Linked DNA regions of Neodiprion lecontei. The protein of the gene in region 3 interacts with the protein of the main gene of each other region in a pairwise test. Links are inferred from orthologs where the notes say so. Each region holds a gene or a part of one and is shown on either strand. Other genes may lie near its edges. The genes, in order: protein son of sevenless, tyrosine-protein kinase Src42A and growth factor receptor-bound protein 2.

Region 1 (6,668 bases), on a different chromosome or scaffold from region 3:
TCTTTAAAACCGATTTTACATATCTTATTGCAAAATATAGCTGAACCTTTTATTAATTAGGAAAACACCGAATTTGTTTTCTTCTTCGTGGAAGGAGTGATAAAATTTTTTCGTAAATGTCGATCTTTTACCTCCCTCACTACTGCACTCTATTTAATGAGAAAACTATGCAAACATGGACCTTGATTTCATATCTCACAACAGTAGGATTTCATCGGGTATAGACTGATAAAAACAGATTCCATTTAGTTAACGTGGCACATGCATCCGCTTCAACGAACTAATAATTGTAATACGCCTCACAGTACTTACTAATTGTCATTTTCACTGACTGCATCTGGCCAGAAAATACAAATGAATATTGCAATTTTTGAAGTCAGGCAGAATTCAGAGTTCCACGATCTGAAACATCAGCTGACTCATATAATTACTTGCAGTTTCGCAATTTATATTCGGGTAGAGCAACTTGTACCACTTCATAACCAATTAGACGCGTTTTACTTATTGAATTTGAATGATCTCATTCACAGGTGAAATTAATTACGAGTACGCGTTATAATATAAAGTTTGATTCAACTATTTCGTCTACTTTATCACACACGCTCATAGCGAATGTCGGTGCATTCAGTCGTTAGGGAATTTCCATCAGCGAGACTTATCATCCCGTTGACTGACCTATTAATTAATTAGAGTTGTAGCAATAATTTAGAATTCTAATAAACTACACTCGTGATTTACGCAATTTGTAGCATGTGAACCGTGTTAGCATTTATTCATCTTGGCATATTCATGTCAACTCATGTTTCGCCTTTTTTTGGTTCCAGAACAACCATCAACATCGACAAGGGGAGGAGACGGAGGAACAATTAGTATAATTTGAAAAACTTACGGAGATGTTTTAAGAAGTCAACCGAGAGGTTCTCAGCCCTCGTCCCTCTACAGTATTAGCGGAAAAACTCTGCCGTCTGATTTTTAGTTTAATTTTTATGCTTTAGTCTAAATTTTTTTTTCTTCCTTTTTTTTAAGATGAATCAAACGATTCGACTATACGTCTCGTGCGTTAATCGTAACAAGAACTGCGCTACGAAAATTTGATATTCCATTCTCTATATATTAAAAAAAAAAAAAGAATTTATATCAAAGATTCCGAGCGTAATATGGTCTGCACCGGCGAATAGATGTAGTGTACGGTGTGTGTAACTGATGGTATTTTCCGAAAGTATTTCGTACATGTCATAAATTTTAGTAATTTATTTAATTTATATTTAATATGTATGCTAAATTTTTTTATTTATTCAATTTACCTAATTTATTGACGTTAAGTATACATATATTATAAATATAATATATTCTTACTTCTAATTTTCTACCGTTTTCTATTCCGTTTATTTAATTGAAAAATTCATGCTCAAATGAATGATACGTCTACATGCCGAATTAAATCGTATATACGTATGATATATATAAGATAAAATTTTGCAGCTCAATTATTAAAAAATAATGATGAAACTATTGAAAATCCATTTGTTCAATTATTTCTACGATATTTAGTACTTCAGTAAATTGCAACAGTCTTTGCTTCGAAATAACATACATTCAAGACAGTATCTAATTTTAGTGATTACTGTTAGAGTGATTTATAAGCTGTAGTATTTTAAGAATTTACGTAAGTCCATATGTGCTACATATTTGAATAGAACGTTTCGGTAAAACCATGAGATTTTATCACTTCTAAACTGACAGCAAAGATCAAATTATGTATTTAACGTTCCGTAAAGAGAGATTTATTTATTATCATTTCACCATTGTATCTCAATTACATGTGATATATTTAAGATGTTATTGTTAACGGCTGCTTTGTCATTTTATTTATTCAAATTATGCACGTGTTGTTGTCTACCGCATTCGCCGGAATGTGAAAATATATTAATTTCATGTCCATAGACAACCTGCTACTGTACGTGAGTGCGTACGCAATAAAATTAATCCACATAATACATTTATCAAGCTCTTCGTCTGTACCTCCCAAACATGCTGTTACAGTTTGTGAAAATTAAAACCGAAATTAAAAACATTTAATTTTAACGAAACCGTTGCTTCGGGTACCGAAAACGAATGCAGTTTGGTCGCTTTTCCTACTCGTAACTATTAATTGGATTTTATGCAAAAAAATTCCTGTACTATAAGATCTATTACCTAACAGACTTTGGACTGTATGCATCGTGTATGCAAATTATAATACTGTAGTTTTTTTTTTTTAATTTCGTCTCAAACGATAATTGTGAAAAGACACCAAAAAGTAATTAGTATTTACTGTTTTATATGATTCATGCGAACTGCTGTGACAACCTTGAAATTCGTTTAATGGATAAACTGATTCTCAGTAATGCATAATATAATTGATGAAAATATTATTTACGTAACTGTACAGTAAATAATGATCAATGTCAATGATGTGCGTCACGATGTTCCCATGCCTGGTTATAGGCCACCGGACATACATATCGATGTGCATGGTAGGCTGCTCAATTCCTTTTACCTACGGTCTTACCACGAGGTAATACTAACTACTTCGTGGGTTTTACCACGCACTAGACGTGAATACGAAAGTTAGACAAGTTAATACTTATGTCAGAGGTGCATATACAAATTAAAATAAAATTGCTCTTGAAATTAATTCACCGCAATGTTTTATAATATTATTGGAATAAATTACATTTAATTAAAAAAAATCTACACAAAATAACACGGCATATTTCGGTTGAAGAAAGAATCAAATAGGAACGCCTAGCGCATAAACGACGTTTAAAATATGCTAATATACGTATTTATGTACAGTAATGTCCAACTATGAGTTCCCCGCGTGGTAATGGGTAATAGTATCGGTACGAGTACGTATTATCCGGGAGGCGCGAATACAGTCATCGACAAAAATTCCAGCAAGATTGAGTAAAGATATGTTTCGCGGGGTATGGACGTTGTTCGATATATATCGCGTTAGTGAGACGAGTCGACGAGTATCGCAATATCGATCGCAACGCGGAGAGCGAGCTCGCGCAATGGCAGTTCTCGATACTGGTGGGTCTCTCTGAACGACGTTTTGATAAGAAATAGTTGAAAGGAGGTGAAAAATGTGCAAAGACAGGGAATACAAGGAGCTAGGGGATCGGCGAAAAGTGATATCGAGGTTAAACAGTGCGGGAAAACGGAGAAGTGGACGAAAAATGGGTGAAAAGGTTTAGCTGTCGCATCTTTGCAGCGAGAACGAGAGGGAGAGAAAGAGAGAGAAAGAGAAAGCGAGAGAGCGCGAGCGAGAAAAAGAGAGAGAGAGAGAGAGAGAGGAAGAAAGAGTGAGAAAGACAAGAAGAGATGTCTGCGCCCCGAACGACGGACGGATAGACGAACGTCTCTGTCAAGTTTTTGTGATTTTTCTAAAAACGTGTCTCGCGAACTAGAGAGAGACTCAGTCTATTTGTGAGAGAAAATAATGTATATCGAATGTGAAATTTGTTCAACTTGAATCAAATCCGCCAGTTAATCAAGTGAGATGTTTTCAACGCCGGCGTCTGTGGTGGGCGAGTCGTCGGGCTACGACTTTGAGAAAGAAGAGAACGCCGCCAAGTGGAAGGGGGTGTTTGTCAACTCCCTACGCAAGGTTTGTTTTCTTCGGATCCTCATTCACGATCCGTCTTTTCCCTAAACGATCGCCACGCGCACTTTCCACAATTTCCGAGCCTCCTTCACGGCTCTCTTTCCTCAATTATTACTACCTTCAGACTTCTCTGGCGATGTTACTACACACCAGTTCGCTCGTATGCACACGTACAGCCTTGTCAAAGTCAGGTGACACCCCGCATTTACTCTTTTCAATCAGCTGGTGTATTCTATCAACTTTGTATCACCTTTCGGGTAATCGTTTGTAAAGTAACTTATTCAATTGTAGAACAACAAATCGAAATATTCTCATTTCCATTTTATCGTCAAATCTTCAGCTTACAGAACTTCATTTATATGGATTCGATTTATACCATAAAATGTACAATGAAAATCTACAAATAATTAAATTAAAATATATGCATCGCTAACGTTTGGTAAAAAATAAAGCGCAAATTTTCCACCATTATTTATTCATTAGTGTCGTTTTATTGACAAGGATGATGATTTTAGAGTTATTGAAAAGTTATTTGTAGTAATTTATAAAAGTGATATCTTCGAAGAAATGGAGTTGAAATTCGTAATGTTAATGTAACTATGTATTTTTTTTCTAAAGAAAAATCAATCTTACAATATCAGAATTGACTGAACTTGGGTAAATCATTACGAAGCAACACAGACACACTGTTTCATAACTTAATTGCTTCTGAATCATGAACAAAATGGCAAACTCATGGTTTTTGCAACAATATTTTGTTACATTAATGGTATTAATTTTAACCTCAGTAAAAAACACAATCTGCCCTTTCGTTGTCACAGAAACATACAGCTTTCTTTAGCAAAATCTGATTAATCTTTAAATTAGCCAGAATTCCTAAGACCAGTGTGGCAACCAATCATTCGTGTTCACTGCTACGTTTGACTTCGCTTATTGATCTCTTTTATTGCAGGTATTGGAACAGGTTCACCCGAGTTTGGAAGCGAGGCAAGACGCACTTGATTATGTGGAAAGTTTGATCCTTCGAATGCTAGGAATGTTGTGTGGCCGACCTCCACCACACACTCCTCAAGATGTTGAAGAACGTGTTAGGCGCACTTTTCCAACGCCAATTGATAGGTGGGCTTTAAGCGACGCCAAGGAAGCATTAGAAAAGGGAAAGAAAAAATCGCCTCTTGTATTACCTGTGGATAAAATACATCAGCTGCTACAAAAGGTTTGTAGTACAGATTAGATTTAGGTTCTTACTTGAATCTACATTTTCAAACGTAACCTTGTCCTCAGGCGATTGAACTATTTAAATATACGCTCTGAATTCTTATTTTTAATTGTAGGAAGTATTGCAGCACAAAATTGACTCGCAAGTCAGTTTGTTCGTTGTAGCCGTACTGGAGTACATCTCGGCTGATATTCTGAAGGTTTGTAATTTTGAACACTACATTGTCCTACTAAGAGTCGTAGTACAGAAAACCTTATTGCCGTAATCGCCTCGCAGATATTTTAGTATTTAGGTTTAAACTGTTTCAATTAATGAACAACAATGTTTTTGTTCAGTTGGCTGGAAACTATGTTAAGAATATACGCCATGTTGAAATTTCCTGTCAAGACATCAGGGTGGCGATGTACGCTGACAAGGTAACATATGACTTACTGAAATTTTGCCATTTACACTATATTTAATTTGTCTGTGTCCTTTGGCTCAACATTCACTACATTCCTGTTGTACATCAAATATTAATTAGTAAATTAAATTAGTAAAATTGAATTGGAAAGTCCGTCCTAAATATATGAGGGATCATTTTTATTTACTTTTTTCAAGTAAGTAGACTAGTGGAACAAATTTAAACAAGTTATTTCCATGTCAGTAATCGGAAAAATTTTCTGAAAATTCCAAACATATTTACTGAAATTCTTTCTTTTCGTTTAATAAATACTAATTTATTCAAGATTAAGTTTATCGTTGTACATGGAACAGCTACAATAAAATTATTGCAACCCCAAAAATCGAAATAATTTCTATGAATTGTTTAATTATACGTTTCTACGTCACCTTAGTGTCAGAAGATTTTGTGGAACTTTGGGCCTACTTATCATTTTTTCATCCAATGTAACATAGCTTATAGTTATAAGCTTTATCTAGGTAATAAGTTGGATTGAGAACAATTAGTGTTACGAGATAGACGGGTTCTGAAATAAATGTAATTCATTTGCATCAGCTTATCGCTATTAAGTATTCGTACGGTTATTTAAAAATGTTTCGTATGTCAAAAATTCAATTTGCTATCTGTACATGTGTATTGACTTTGAAAAAGTACGGATTTTACAGAAATGAAGTTATCAGGAATCACATATGACATTCGTTAAAAGTATTTTTCTGGAGATGTGGTTATTTGTCGTGTTTTGTTCTCTTGGTTTTCTTTTCCCCCTCCCTTATGAAATTCACATTGCAATTTAGTATACATAATACAGAACATATGTTGACTCGTCAAAGGGGGCTATAAATTGCAAACAAATCTTAGAAGTTAGTAATAACCGTTGTTGTAATCCAAAAACCACTGACTGGCTATGCTAGATTAGACACAGGCTAAGTGGTAATTGTGGCTGCAAATGTTCTCTGCTTGGTTACATGCTTTCCACCAACTAAAAACAACACCAACAATGTTCGCCCTCTACTCACGCTGTTATAGGTGGTACGTACCTGCGACGCCCCTGTAGAAAGTTATTTGAACACATTCAGTAATTATTACATTTTCATGATCCTCTAATCGTTTGTGAAATTTTGTGAACAACGGAGCTAAATAACTAACTTTTTATGATACTGTAAATTACTGAAAAAAAAAAATTTGGCAGGCTTACTGTTTTTCAAAATAATTAACATGGTACTCCATTTGTGTCAAAATAGGTAATGAAAGTAAATTTCTTCCCTACAACACAGCCCACAACTCAAGCGGGCTTATCGTATCTATTCATTAGTGAATTATCACATGCTACGACATTAATTAGCTCACGTTGTTGC
Region 2 (6,565 bases), on a different chromosome or scaffold from region 3:
AGCCTTGAACGTGTTCTTTTCTAATAATAAAGTAACAGCTATTGTTTACAAACAAAAGTGAAAAAAATTTGTTTTCTTCAATGTACGGATAAATAACGGTTATACAAGTAAAATATTATGTAATTCCGAAGATTATGACGGAGTAACTCAGAATACGAAGAAACGGGAGAAAATTTTTCGTGGAAAAGGGTAATCGTAATCACAACAGAAAGTTTAACTGGGAACAAGTCTTTCTGTAAAGAAAAACTATTAATTTAGCAAATTCCTCTCAAGTTCAATAATTAATTTTTTCGTGATTTTCAACATTTTTTCGATACGGAGCAAAGGAGTGATTAAGAAAGTAATTTTATAATGAATGTATAAATACAAACAAACAAAACAACGTATGTAATTAATTATTTTAAAAAAATTATGGTTTCAAGAATTGCTTTAAAAAAAGTTGATAATCTGGACTAAATAGATAAATTTTTCGGCTAGATGGGAAGTTTTATCAGAGTGAAGTTTGTGACGATATATGTTTAAGAAAAATCATTACTTCGCACCTTTAGGGATATCGGAAATTAAGTAAGCCATGATAAACAAAATATACTTTCATATTGAAAAGCCAACTCCTTATCAAAGGGGTTGTAAAATTGCGCAATAATAATTTTTTCCTGATGTTTCGTTACGTTAACGTTACTAACTTCACCCTCATGAAATTTTATAATTATCGAAGTTGACAGACATACGCTGAATTCTAATTGAAGGGAAACAAATAAATGTGGTCAACCACTGGCACTGGCATTCATCGTAACAATATAGTCGATAATTTCTCAATCTTTTAAACCTCGTGCGTATCTATGTACACGGCAAGAGGGCAGAGAGGCAGACTGCATATTTTTGATACTTGAAATAGCCGATAGGCGCGAAATTATATGGTCATAAACTATGTACGCCGTTTAATCAAAAGGTAGGATAAAATCGAAGTGAAACTTGAAAGATAATTCAAAGCTTAATCAGTTAACCCGGACAGTTCTCTTCGGGCAGTCTTGCCACATAACGCGCGTGCATGTTGAATAAGTGACAACAAGTGTTTTGATGCGTGTAAAGATCGTAGCTGGGTAAACATGTATCAAAAAATTTTCAGATCCGGTACCTTCCGATCATTGGCGAGCGTCTTTCAAAGGTGAATTATTTTTCACGTGTATGTATGTATTTTCTGTTTCGTATCAACGATCGAACGAGTGTCGTTCGGTTCTCCTTACATAAAATCAATTGATTTATCTTTCGATTGATAAGAAATCGTCTCAACGCTGTCAACAAATAATCGCCATTATCAGCGAGGGTAATTCGGATTTAGAGCATATATTCGGGTCATAATATTGTCGCAGGTGATTACAGAATTCGTAAATAAATCAAGAAATAAATCTAAATGTGCGATAATATGACGACGGTCCCGGAGAGTTTGTGGTTTGACGGCACCCTTCACGCGTATAAAGCATTCAAATACGCATTTTGACATCGTTTATATACGCGATAGATTTTTATCGTGATAATCTAGCGATGCAAGTCAGTATCAGTTCTGCCTCAATTGAATCTAAATGCTACCGGGAATCGTTGTAAAGGGATTAAGTACGAAAATGCATATCGAACAGTGGCAAGATTCGAAGGACGAGCCACAGGTCCGAGGACGTCGAGCACCGGTTGTTCGGCTTCCTTCGGACACCGTACCGAATTCTTCCGAACGAAACAATCTGGATATTCCCCTCGTCCCCCCGCCTTGGTGGGTGTTTTCACTTCGAACCGATGTATTAAAAATCGTCTAAATCAGGATAATACGATGTCCTGATCGTCACGTTATCGGGCAGAGTCTCGCCGACGTCGAAGTGTCGTTTGTGTTTGCTCCCGCCTCGGGGGCGTGTGCTCTTGGTGATTCCGCTGAACCCGCATATATAACAATATTCTGCTCGCGCATGTGAAATCGTATTTGACGGCTAGCGGACAGACGGACTGACGGACAATGGCGAACGCTGCAAGGAGGTTCCCTCGGCCAGAAAGTTGATCGTGATTTTCGGGGATTCGTTGAGGGGAACAGGGACCTGCGGTCGTCACATGTTCCCGATTTGACCCCGACGATAAATACGTTGTTCCGTTGATTGTCCGACGGCGTTTTTGGCTGGTTTACGCTTCCGTAATCCGTGTTGTAAATGTTTGAAAAACTAAATACATGTATACGTAAAGGGGTATGCGTTAGACCCAGTGCTGCTGTGTGGAAAGTGGAGTTTAATCTCTATGTCAGTTTTATCGGTAAAGTTTCAATTCGAAACACTTGGCACTTTTTACTTCGACACTTGGCAAGTCCGAGTTGCTCGTCAAACTGACAACGAATTGTGAATATCTTAATATTTTCTAGTGTGTTTGTAACGTCAACGAATCTTTGGTATCTCCCAGTTCTCGTTTCCAATAACCACAAATCGCTATTTCTTCCCTACCATTATCGCGTGTGTTAGCCACCGACTCGTTATTATTCTTGTATATAACGCAGCTCAACGGTGTTTATTTTTAATCAAAGGGACGAGCGAAGTCTTTTTCTTTCTTTCTTTTTATCACTAATCCACATCGAACCCTTGAAACGTGTAGAACCATTCACACAGACAAAAAAATCTCGCCAAAGGGACAAAGAATCTCGCCCTGTTCCCCCGGAATATTTCTTTTTTTTATCATTTATACTCTACACTTGACTGTTTACCTAAGAAATCCATCAATCTATGGACCATGCAGAGAACGATAACCCAAAAAACAGAACTTCCTATTCGCATCTGAAAAAAGTGACTGACTATATAGACGTATGAACAGTCAAATACCAAAAGACACTTGCTGAAGTGTCTCAGAGTTGAAAAATTACCTGCTTTGAGACGTTACCAAAACGCTATCAAGATGGGAAACTGTTTTAGCAGCCCGACAAATTCTGAAAAGGATAAGTCTCAGAGGAGCGGCAACACCACCAGCGACCCTATCGCGTTGCCAGCTAGCCCGGTTCCGACTCCGCCTCCGGATCCTATCAGACCGATACCGCAAATACCTGAAACCGATGCGCCGACGGCTAAAATATTCGTCGCCCTCTACGACTATGATGCAAGGACTGACGAGGACCTCAGCTTCAGAAAGGGAGAACACTTAGAAATCCTTAACGACACGCAGGGCGACTGGTGGCTCGCTAGAAGCAAGAGGACCAGACAGGAAGGATACATTCCCAGTAACTACGTTGCCAAACTGAAATCTATTGAAGCTGAACCGTAAGTTTGTACATTACTCTATTCGTTTATCTGTAACAAAAGCTTGCTTCGGTCTTTCACGAAGCCTAAGGCAGCAGTTCTACTTAGTCGGCGAACGTGTTGAATTTTTCTTACGTAGAATGGTATAGCACAGTTTTTAAATTGATCTATGCTTCTTTGAAAGTATTGAGTTTCCATGAGACTTGGTGTAAATCCACGTTTCTGGACCAGGATGTTTTCGATTCAATGACAAATTAGTGTTTCACATTTATTGCCAAATTTTTTTATTTTTTAACGTAGTTATTAGGTCCACCATCTTATATCGCAATATTCTTGACTGTTATCAAATCGGGTAAAAACCCACAGGATAAAAAATACTATTTAAATCCTAGAATTCAAAGTATTCACATCTTCATGAATAATGCGCTATTGATTATGCAAAACGATTTTCTCACTACCTCAGACATGAATTAATCAGGTTTGGTATGAAACCAAATGTAACTTAACCGATGTATTCTGAATATAAACATTACTCTACGATGATAAGAAAATAAAAATGGTGAATTTTTCATATGGAAAATTGGAAGAGTCAAGGAATTGTGTATGTGAAAATTTATATCAACTCTGAAAATCCAAGTCATGCGCTCGCAACACGACCCCTCCAACGATCGGTTTACAGTTATAGATCTGCTTGGAAAACCAATTAATCGATTACCATATGTTTAATATTTATATCGATGCCGATCGGTAACAGTGGATTGAATTGATATATTTTAATAGGGCATAGCCGTTATTTTTAATCGTGGCTCAATAACTTTTTATAACGTCGCAGGCGTGACTCTTGTTTTTTAAAATTCCTCTGCCATTAGTTTCTTTGCTCGTTATAATTATTATTATTGCATGAGATTGCTTTCACCTACTCCAAAGGTTCCTCACTACTTCATAATAACCTGATAGGTTGAGCGTCACTGTACTCTTCTAGTACGGGGGGGGCCTACACACGAGCACACGCACACAATCGCATACACACCTTGGTAGATTACTATGTAGGAATTTTCAGGAAGCAGTGTTCATATTTAAATATTAAAAGATCCCTCTACTCATGTTCTAGGAAATATTGTACATTGAATTTAACATTTTTTTTTTTTTTTTCATGAACATCGGTACAATGGCAGTTTATTATTGCAAAAATGCCAAAAGATGAAGGGGAAAAAATATGCCGATAGAATAGAGTTGCGCAAGGAAGAAGTATAATTAAAGTTCAGTTCTACCAGTTAACTATGTTTGAAGAAATTGTGTCCCCATTATTCGAAAACGTAGTTTTCCACATCAAGTAACTACCCATTAACTTTGTCATCGGAGTGAATGTTGAAACATCATAACATTCTTTTTTCTATTCGGACCCTAGGTATAACAATCATAATTTGATTCAGTTATTCAGAAGCGATAGTTTTAATGGCATGCAAAATTTATGTATGCCAAAGCATGTGGAATGTTTTCTAAACTTAGTCTTCTCATGAACTGTCTATCTTTTTCCAAATTCATCAATTTAAATTTTATTCGCTTTGATCAAAGTCGTTTGAATCATTCTTAAAGATTGAGTCGAACCTTTCGCATATGTACTTGTTTGAACTTAATTTGTATTTCGAGTCAGTGACAGTAAATTTTTCTTTTTCTTTCTCAGATGGTACTTCAGAAAAATAAAGCGAATTGAAGCCGAGAAGAAACTGTTACTGCCAGAGAATGATCATGGAGCATTCTTAATTCGAGATTCGGAAAGTCGACACAATGACTATTCCCTATCGGGTAAGTGCATTAGTTTTATTCGTCGCAACCTACCTGTCGTACAAGAAGTAATAAAGATGAGTAAAGATAGCGCAGGGTGTGCAATAATAAGTTGGGAGGAGAGAAAATACAGATAACTGGTTCACTCCTTCAGCTTTCACCCGCTTGATAATAACAATGTGTCGTCATTTGGTAGATAACATGTTCTAAAGCCAGTTGATTAAATACATTAATCTTGAAATTGATCTGTAGAGTACACGGTACGTCTGCTTGATTTGTTGGGTGAAAATGACACGAATCTTAATAAAATAAACACACCGATATTTAATACTTATTTAAAAACATTCAATTTTCTTTGGTCAAAAGTAAAGCTTCAAAATAAGGTTTACTTGGGGTAAATGATCCTGAAACAATCCATCAGATAGTAGACTCGGTGCCGTTGTATCACTTGATGATTAAATTGGTATATCCTGTCAGCCAGATTGCAATTTCCTGTTTTTTCATGTCTTTATCTCTTAGTGGTTTTCACTACTTTTCATCCGCGTGAAGTGAGTCGCAACTCACTTACTATATGCTTTAACATCATTTGCAATTTTTATAAAAATTTGTCAATTCTTCATTTCATTTTCTTCAGTAAGCAGACAATTGTTTTCAAATAATTATTTCATCGATCAGATAGATTTAAATAATTAAAATAAAAAATAAATAAATAACTATGTACAAATTTCTAATTACACTGATTTTTTTCATTATAGTGCGAGATGGGGACACAGTAAAACATTACCGTATCAGGCAACTGGATGAAGGTGGTTTCTTCATAGCCAGGCGTACAACTTTCAGAACACTACAGGAACTCGTTGAACATTACAGCAAAGACGCAGATGGTCTCTGTGTCAATCTTTGTAAACCGTGTGTGCAGGTAACAGAAAGTCATACGTTAAAATTAACGGTCCAAAATTTGTCTACACAGAGTTTAGACAGCTTGCTGCATGTGAGAGATTTCTTTGAGAATGTCATATCGTTAATTAATACTATATCTCTATATATTTATAATGAAATGCAACTCGTCGAGGCTTTTAGATATATATATATATACATCGTTGTCGTTTGTAAAACAACATTTATACCAATCTTTGAAGGGGATGTTTTAATCAGTACTTTTAGGCACCTCCCTCTGACACACCTGCGATAAGTCGAATGACTAAAATTCTTTTTTTGTCTAGCGTTTCAGACCCTGTTATGCACTAATATTTCAATTACTTTACGGTCCAATTTCTGCTTGATAACAGTGATTTCAGCAGGGAATACCATTGCGTGTGAATAAGTCATCAACTGAATACACTGTAATTTAGATAACTTGAATGTTGCTATTTTTTTTTCGTTCCTTTTTTTATAACCTAACGTTGAATGCAGAAAACAGCACTGTCTAAACTTCTGTTGGACTTTGCTATCCTAATAAGTTAGATTATAAATCTTATTTACGATTATTAAGCTTGATCCTGGAAAAGACAAGAAAAATTATTACA
Region 3 (6,410 bases):
AATGATAGACTTAGCCGAGTTCAAGTAGAGGAACTGAACCCAACCATCATCGTCCACCATATATAGCTATATATCCCACTTGAAATAAACACAGTTCTCATTCTGTCTCACTCTTTTCATCATCGTACAGTCGTTGGACATGCGTTGGGCAGTATGTGAAAACTCTTTCATCTCTCTATCGTATGCAGCATCGTATGTGGGTAGCGTTTCCCGGATACATTGGTTAATAAAGCTGCGCAGTAATAATACAACGTAACACAATACAAATATAATACATTTATCAGAATGAGTCCTTCTTTAATTCTCGAAACGATCCCGATTCAAAGCAAAATGGTACGAATCGGTTATTTTAGCTGGGTACGACCTATCAATCACACTCGATTTTCAAACTCCTATTAGTCCCTTATTATGGTATGTTCAATTTCGTCGATGAGTTTCGTTCTACGCCGGCAGACAGGCGACGTCCGATGCTTTCGACCTTCCGGCGGAATGGATCAGTGACCGCCACATATGATTCACGCACAAAAATTTATCTTTTTCTCTTATTTGGGAAATTACCGTTACCAGAGATATGCACGCAGGTTTCACACCGTGGCCATGGAGGATATCGCAAGGAAGAATAAATACGACAGGTCAACAGTTTAACCGATAATTTATTATCCGGATACTGAATAATTCATAATATGCGTACATGTATAGATATACGTATGTGTATACATGTTGTAACGCGTAAATTTTCGTCATTGTCTCTGGCCGGAATAATCAGCTCGAACAAGGTGTACGTATACACCTATATGCTAATTACACCTATCTATACCTACCTGTGCATCAACGATACTAATATACAGTTGCGAATTTCAAATCGATCTTATGGTTCAAAATTCATTGTAAATGAACAAATATTTCTCTATTAATTTTTAACACCGTATTTTATTACAGTTCATCCATCATTTCTACGAATGTAAACTTCCACTCGCTAAACCTATACGCATGCGCGTTTATTTGTTTGTATGTACATACATACATGCATCGACGCAGAGGATAGGCGGTTGTTCGTGTTTCATGAAAAGAAACGTGCCTGGCTCTGCCGAATGACGACAGCAGTCGACAGGCTTTTCCTCGAGCTGTACAACCGAGTTGTTGCCGACTGCGCATGTCGCGTATTCCGCGGTCGCGAAGTAGTCCCAGAGGTAAAATGAGAAAAAAAAATGGCGTTCATGTTGCCGCGTAGAAATGTACTCGAACGGATTTTCCGCAATTACAATAACCCTGCAAAACGTCTGGGGTAGTCAATGGGAATACGACTTGATAAGCGATAGGTGGGATAAACTATCGGGTGAAAATTACCAGGCCCCAAAATATCGTCGGGCTGTTTTAGTACCGACGTGAAACGACGCGGTGGCAGCACCGTCGCTAACCGGGATCCCCAGGAGAAGGCAGGAGGTGCAGCAGCGGTCAGTGGCGACCGACGGCGGCTGATAAGCGTAAGCTTAAAGCAATGGGTTATAATTCCTCGAAGTATGCAATTGCGGTGGTCGTCGTGAACTGATGACAGTTTTAACGGTTTACCAATAAAAGTTCGTTCCGATTAATAAGGAGCAATTAACGCGGCGAACATTATTATCTAATTTTCTTGCCGCAAGAAGACAACCGACCGAAATTATAATGAAAGATTACGGGTTCCGTTTCTGCTAGTATCGCGTTTCGCTACCGCTACTAATACTACTACTGGCTCCTGGCACTCGTGTTTCGATCGAGAGGAAACAGATATCGTTCACAGTGTGTTGTTTAAACCATACAAACGCGAACGTGACATAGATACGCGTCTCGGTGCATAAGTAAAACGTTTCGAAAACAAAAGAGGAACGATAAAGAAAAGGAACAAGAGTTTAACAACACCAACACAACAAGTTTAGAGGTACAAAGAGAAGGAACGAGAGAAGGAAAAGAAAAATAATAAAAAATCAAAAATAAAAAAACAACAAGCAAAATAAAGAACCCAGCTGCGGTTTTTCGTTACTGTCACAAAATCTACGTGTCCGATTATTATCAACTGGTGGTGTATGTTGTATACTGTGCAGTTTAAGTTGTTCTTCTCTCAACAGGCTATATCAGAGGTGAAAGAAAAAAAAAGATAATATATATATATATATATCGAAAGGCGACCGACGGGCGTCGAGAGGCGAACGAACGGCCGATCACCATCCACGGAGTAGATCCGCAGCTGTGATTTTTTTTTCCTCATTACATACGGCGATACGTGGTACCCATAGGCTTATTATACCCAGTCACACTGCGTGTGACATACGAAAGGAAAGAAGAGGAAAAACTACTCTTCAATTGGGTCGTTTGAACTTTGTGTCGAGGTGGACGTTGTTCAAGGCTGGTTCGTGCCAAGGGAGAGACGTTCGTTTATTACCTACCTAACCGAGAACCCGTGACGACGACGAAGACGACGACGACGAGGACGTGGAGGAGGACGAGGACGAGGAGGAGGAGCAGGAGAACGATTGATATCGCACGCATAAATTCTTCGGCGAAATATAACAAATATAACGGATTTGCCAGGATTCAACTTGGATAAATAGATTCGGATAAAGAGAGTGAATCATCACCATGGAGGCGATAGCGAAACACGATTTCAATGCGACGGCCGATGACGAGCTCAGCTTTCGTAGGAGTCAAGTATTGAAGGTTGGTACGGCTCACCCTCTCCTCGCCGCCCTTCCCCGCCCACCACCGCTCTCGTCATCTCGTCGTTTATCCATTCCTCTTCACACAATGTGTCTATTTACTTATGCATACCCACATGTGTCGTCCTAGACGGATCCTGTATAATCCCTGATCGTGCCATGGCAATATTTATCCCATTTCTTACGCCTCGCGCTGTAAATTAAGCGCAAATAACACGCTTCTTATCTTATCTATACTTATACCATACGTGTGATGTATGTAAACGGGGGACAGCGCGCATATGCGGAACATGTTTCCTAGATAACCGAGGTGAAAAGAATAGCAGCGGTGATTGTATGGAGGGAAGAGAAGAGAAGAGAAGAAATGAAGAAAAAAATTAAAATAAATAAAATAGAAACAAATGACGAACGATCGCCTGTTCGACTCAACAACGTTACAATGTGTTCCACGCTTTTTCCCTACGTTTTTTTTTTTTTTTTTTATTCTATTTCACCCATCGCCCTGTCATCGTCTATTTGATAAAACTAAAGGAAAGGAGGAAGAACGATATCAACACGGGACAAGCAAAACGGGACACGCACACGCGCATACACCCGCAAAAAGCAGTAACGAATTCTTTCATATCATCAGCGCCATTCTCCCAATCACCAAATATAGAAATACACATACGTATGTGTGTATGCATGCACCTGTGTGTTCGCTCTTCGATCTCACTGATCCGCACTACGGATGGTGGAGGAGGATTTTATCGCGTTTCGGGATTTTGCAATCTAACAATATGACATTTCGTAATACAATTGTCTCTACGTATGGCAAAAGAATTTTTATTCCTTGTTAATAAGTTGGCTAGTTTTTTTTTATCATCGCCTACACCCTTAATTTTTCATTGCGTTCATCAATTTTGTGTAATATCAATTCTTTCATCCCTGATTTGCGCTTTGGTTGCAGGTTCATGAATCGAGAAAATTCGATACCAATCGCCTTTCTGAATTCATTTAGCCAATCATGAAAACTTTCTTGGAATCTTGCTTATAGGTATATCCATCTGAGTCTTTCGAATTTTATTTTATTAACAAAAAAAAAAAAAAAAAGAAGGAGAAGAAGCAGAGAAAGGAAACTCGCCAATATTTTATTGGCATAAGTTTCCTTTCTTCGGTGATCGCGCTATCTATGCTTCTCGATCGTTTAAAAGATCGTTAGTACCAAAATAATAAAAAAAAAAAAAAAGCTGCTGAATATTTTATGACAGCGAAGCGTCAAGTGAAATATATTTGTACATTTAACATAAAGAATTTCTATGAAAGAAACGAAACGACGACGTTTTGTTGCGCATACGTTAATCGTTCTTACTTTGTATACATTTGATGATTATTGTATATTATTTCGACATCGGAATGAATATTATTTGTGGAAGTTTGTCATTGTTTTCGGAGTATCGTGTTTCTCCTACGCGTAACTACATTGTCGTAAGAGTCTATGACGAAACCAGAAATCGAGAATATTGTACATAAGCACGTATGCAGGGAACTGAGTCTTGAGACTTCTGAGACTGACTCTGACACGAGCTGAATATCGTGTCCAAGTTATGCCATAGCTATTTTCTGCTTGGGCAAAACTATACTCGATCTTCGCTCTTATACCTATTTATAAATTTTCATGAAACCATGCGAGAAACGTGGATAGATACCCACGTAGGTATGAAGGAAAACAGAGCCTCTGCGGTTCTTCCTCGTCTAGATGATTTCGCGTTTTTTTAGGAACAGCGACCAACCAACGAACCACGATCCCATCCGCAAATTTTCGATGAAACGATCAAACTTGTGAAAAAAGCAACGCATCGAAAGTTATGTAACGGGCGTTGATATTGTAACGGATTTACGAAAGTAAATCGGTTGGAAAATGTCAACACATTTATAAAAAATTCTATAAGTGGCTGCAAGTGGCGCCATTTTTGTGGAGAAATTTAGCAACTCTAAGGGAATGACTAGAAATGTATGTGCAGTGTAGTAACATGCATTCTATACGTCCTAAAAATAGTACATTTCAAGTCGTACAATGACGCAAAATTTCTTGTCCATGTTGAGAAATTAAATTGTATTTCGTTATGAAATTAAAATAAAGATTGAAAGGAAAACTGGAGATAGAAACTTTTTTTTCGCGGATATCCGATTTTCAAAATTTTAAAGTTCATTCCTTTTCCTATTCCTAATGAAAGGTCAGACATCCCTGTTTGTTATCCCGTTAAATCGATCCATAGAATTTATTGTTAATAATTAATTTTCGCAATTGATAAGTTATATTCTAGAAATGACATTTCATACTAAAGAATTCAAGATCATTCACAAATTATTGTCACATTACAGAGGAGGAAAAAAAAATGAAGAAGACGAATAACAATAATTAGTATACAAACAGATATTTTTGTCTGAAACTTTGGCATCTATTATCGTCTAAGATAAGTTTCCTCCTTTAACAACCGCTGCATACATTACTACACGAAAATATCATTTTAAATACCCGTATGCTCTGGCGTTCCTTTTTTCTTTTATCTTTTGTCCTAATCAATAGGGTATTTAAATACCACCTGCTTATCGTTATGTTGATATCAGTTTCGCTCCTCCTTTCCTGCAAACGAAACTCATTAATCTTACGACCTTGGTTCGGTTTGCTGCTGCTACTTTGGTGGTGGAAGCTGCGATTATTCATACATGTATACTTGCGCAGCATGTATTATTACCACACTGACCAGCATGCAGCTGGCTCCGTTATCAATAGGAAGACAAGAGCAGCAATGACGGAAAATTGAAAAAAAAATCGGTCATTTTTTATAGCTGGGGATTTACCTTTACATACATATTCAATTTTCCAATCTCTTTATTTTCATCATCTCAAAAGAACAACGCACAAAATACACTGTTCCTTTGATTTTATAAATAACTGATTTAACTTTCTCTATTTATTAGATTTTAAACATGGAAGACGACATGAATTGGTACAGAGCAGAATTGGACTCTAGGGAAGGCTTGATACCGAGCAATTACATTGAGATGAAGAATCACGAGTAAGTTTGACGGCGTATTTCTTTCTTAATGAGTTTCATTCCATTGTTGACCCAAGCCAAAGCCAAAGCTATATGAAAAAGGCGATGCTGACTTGAAAGTGCCTAAGATAACAAATTAAGGATATGTTTGAAACAAGGGAAAAAAAAGAGAGAACCAGAACTTGACTTTTCTATTTTTGTTCCCTGTACGCAGCTGGTATTACGGGAGAATAACAAGAGCAGATGCGGAAAGGCTTTTGATGAACAAACGCGAAGGTGCGTTTCTTATCAGAATCAGCGAGAGTTCTCCCGGTGATTTTTCCCTATCAGTCAAGTAAGTTTTGTACAAATATTCGTTCCATCGTTCGAAAAATGTCTAACTTTAAAAGTTGTTAAAACAAAGATTTGCGGTATTTGTATGATTTTTACCTCTCATAGTTTACAATAATACTCGAAGATATTTAACCATTTAAACGCTTATGCATAGCTTCGGATCGAGACATTATTTCAATTCCACAGATGCTCGGATGGCGTTCAGCATTTCAAAGTCCTCAGAGACGCGCAAGGCAAGTTCTTCCTTTGGGTAGTCAAATTCAACAGTCTTAACGAGCTCGTCGAATATCATCGCACCGCATCAGTATCTCGTTCTCAGGACGTGAAATTGCTTGATATGAAA

What was found.
Region 1: the proteins of growth factor receptor-bound protein 2 (region 3) and protein son of sevenless interact in a two-hybrid assay, tested with the Caenorhabditis elegans proteins (3 studies listed by BioGRID). The link is inferred for Neodiprion lecontei from reciprocal best matches to the Caenorhabditis elegans genes sem-5 and sos-1.
Region 2: the proteins of growth factor receptor-bound protein 2 (region 3) and tyrosine-protein kinase Src42A interact in a two-hybrid assay, tested with the Caenorhabditis elegans proteins (3 studies listed by BioGRID). The link is inferred for Neodiprion lecontei from reciprocal best matches to the Caenorhabditis elegans genes sem-5 and src-2.

The regions. Positions count from the first base shown.
Region 1 is NC_060263.1:31,853,836-31,860,503, reverse strand, and holds the start of protein son of sevenless, read left to right. Parts: upstream 1-3,047; 5' UTR 3,048-3,547; coding exon 3,548-3,655; intron 3,656-4,604; coding exon 4,605-4,868; intron 4,869-4,986; coding exon 4,987-5,070; intron 5,071-5,206; coding exon 5,207-5,287; coding exon of another isoform or gene 5,288-5,289; intron 5,290-6,668. Other genes in the region: uncharacterized protein LOC107223285, read left to right, coding at 825-875. UniProt on the Caenorhabditis elegans protein: Promotes the exchange of Ras-bound GDP by GTP. May regulate signaling pathways downstream of receptor tyrosine kinase, egl-15 and let-23.
Region 2 is NC_060264.1:7,982,318-7,988,882, forward strand, and holds the start of tyrosine-protein kinase Src42A, read left to right. Parts: upstream 1-1,768; 5' UTR 1,769-2,182; exon of another isoform or gene 2,183-2,733; 5' UTR 2,734-2,916; coding exon 2,917-3,275; intron 3,276-4,938; coding exon 4,939-5,060; intron 5,061-5,794; coding exon 5,795-5,958; intron 5,959-6,565. UniProt on the Caenorhabditis elegans protein: Non-receptor tyrosine-protein kinase which may play a role in larval and pharynx development. Unlike src-1, does not play a role in embryonic development.
Region 3 is NC_060266.1:3,272,420-3,278,829, forward strand, and holds the start of growth factor receptor-bound protein 2, read left to right. Parts: upstream 1-2,161; 5' UTR 2,162-2,616; coding exon 2,617-2,694; intron 2,695-5,657; coding exon 5,658-5,755; intron 5,756-5,948; coding exon 5,949-6,068; intron 6,069-6,253; coding exon 6,254-6,410.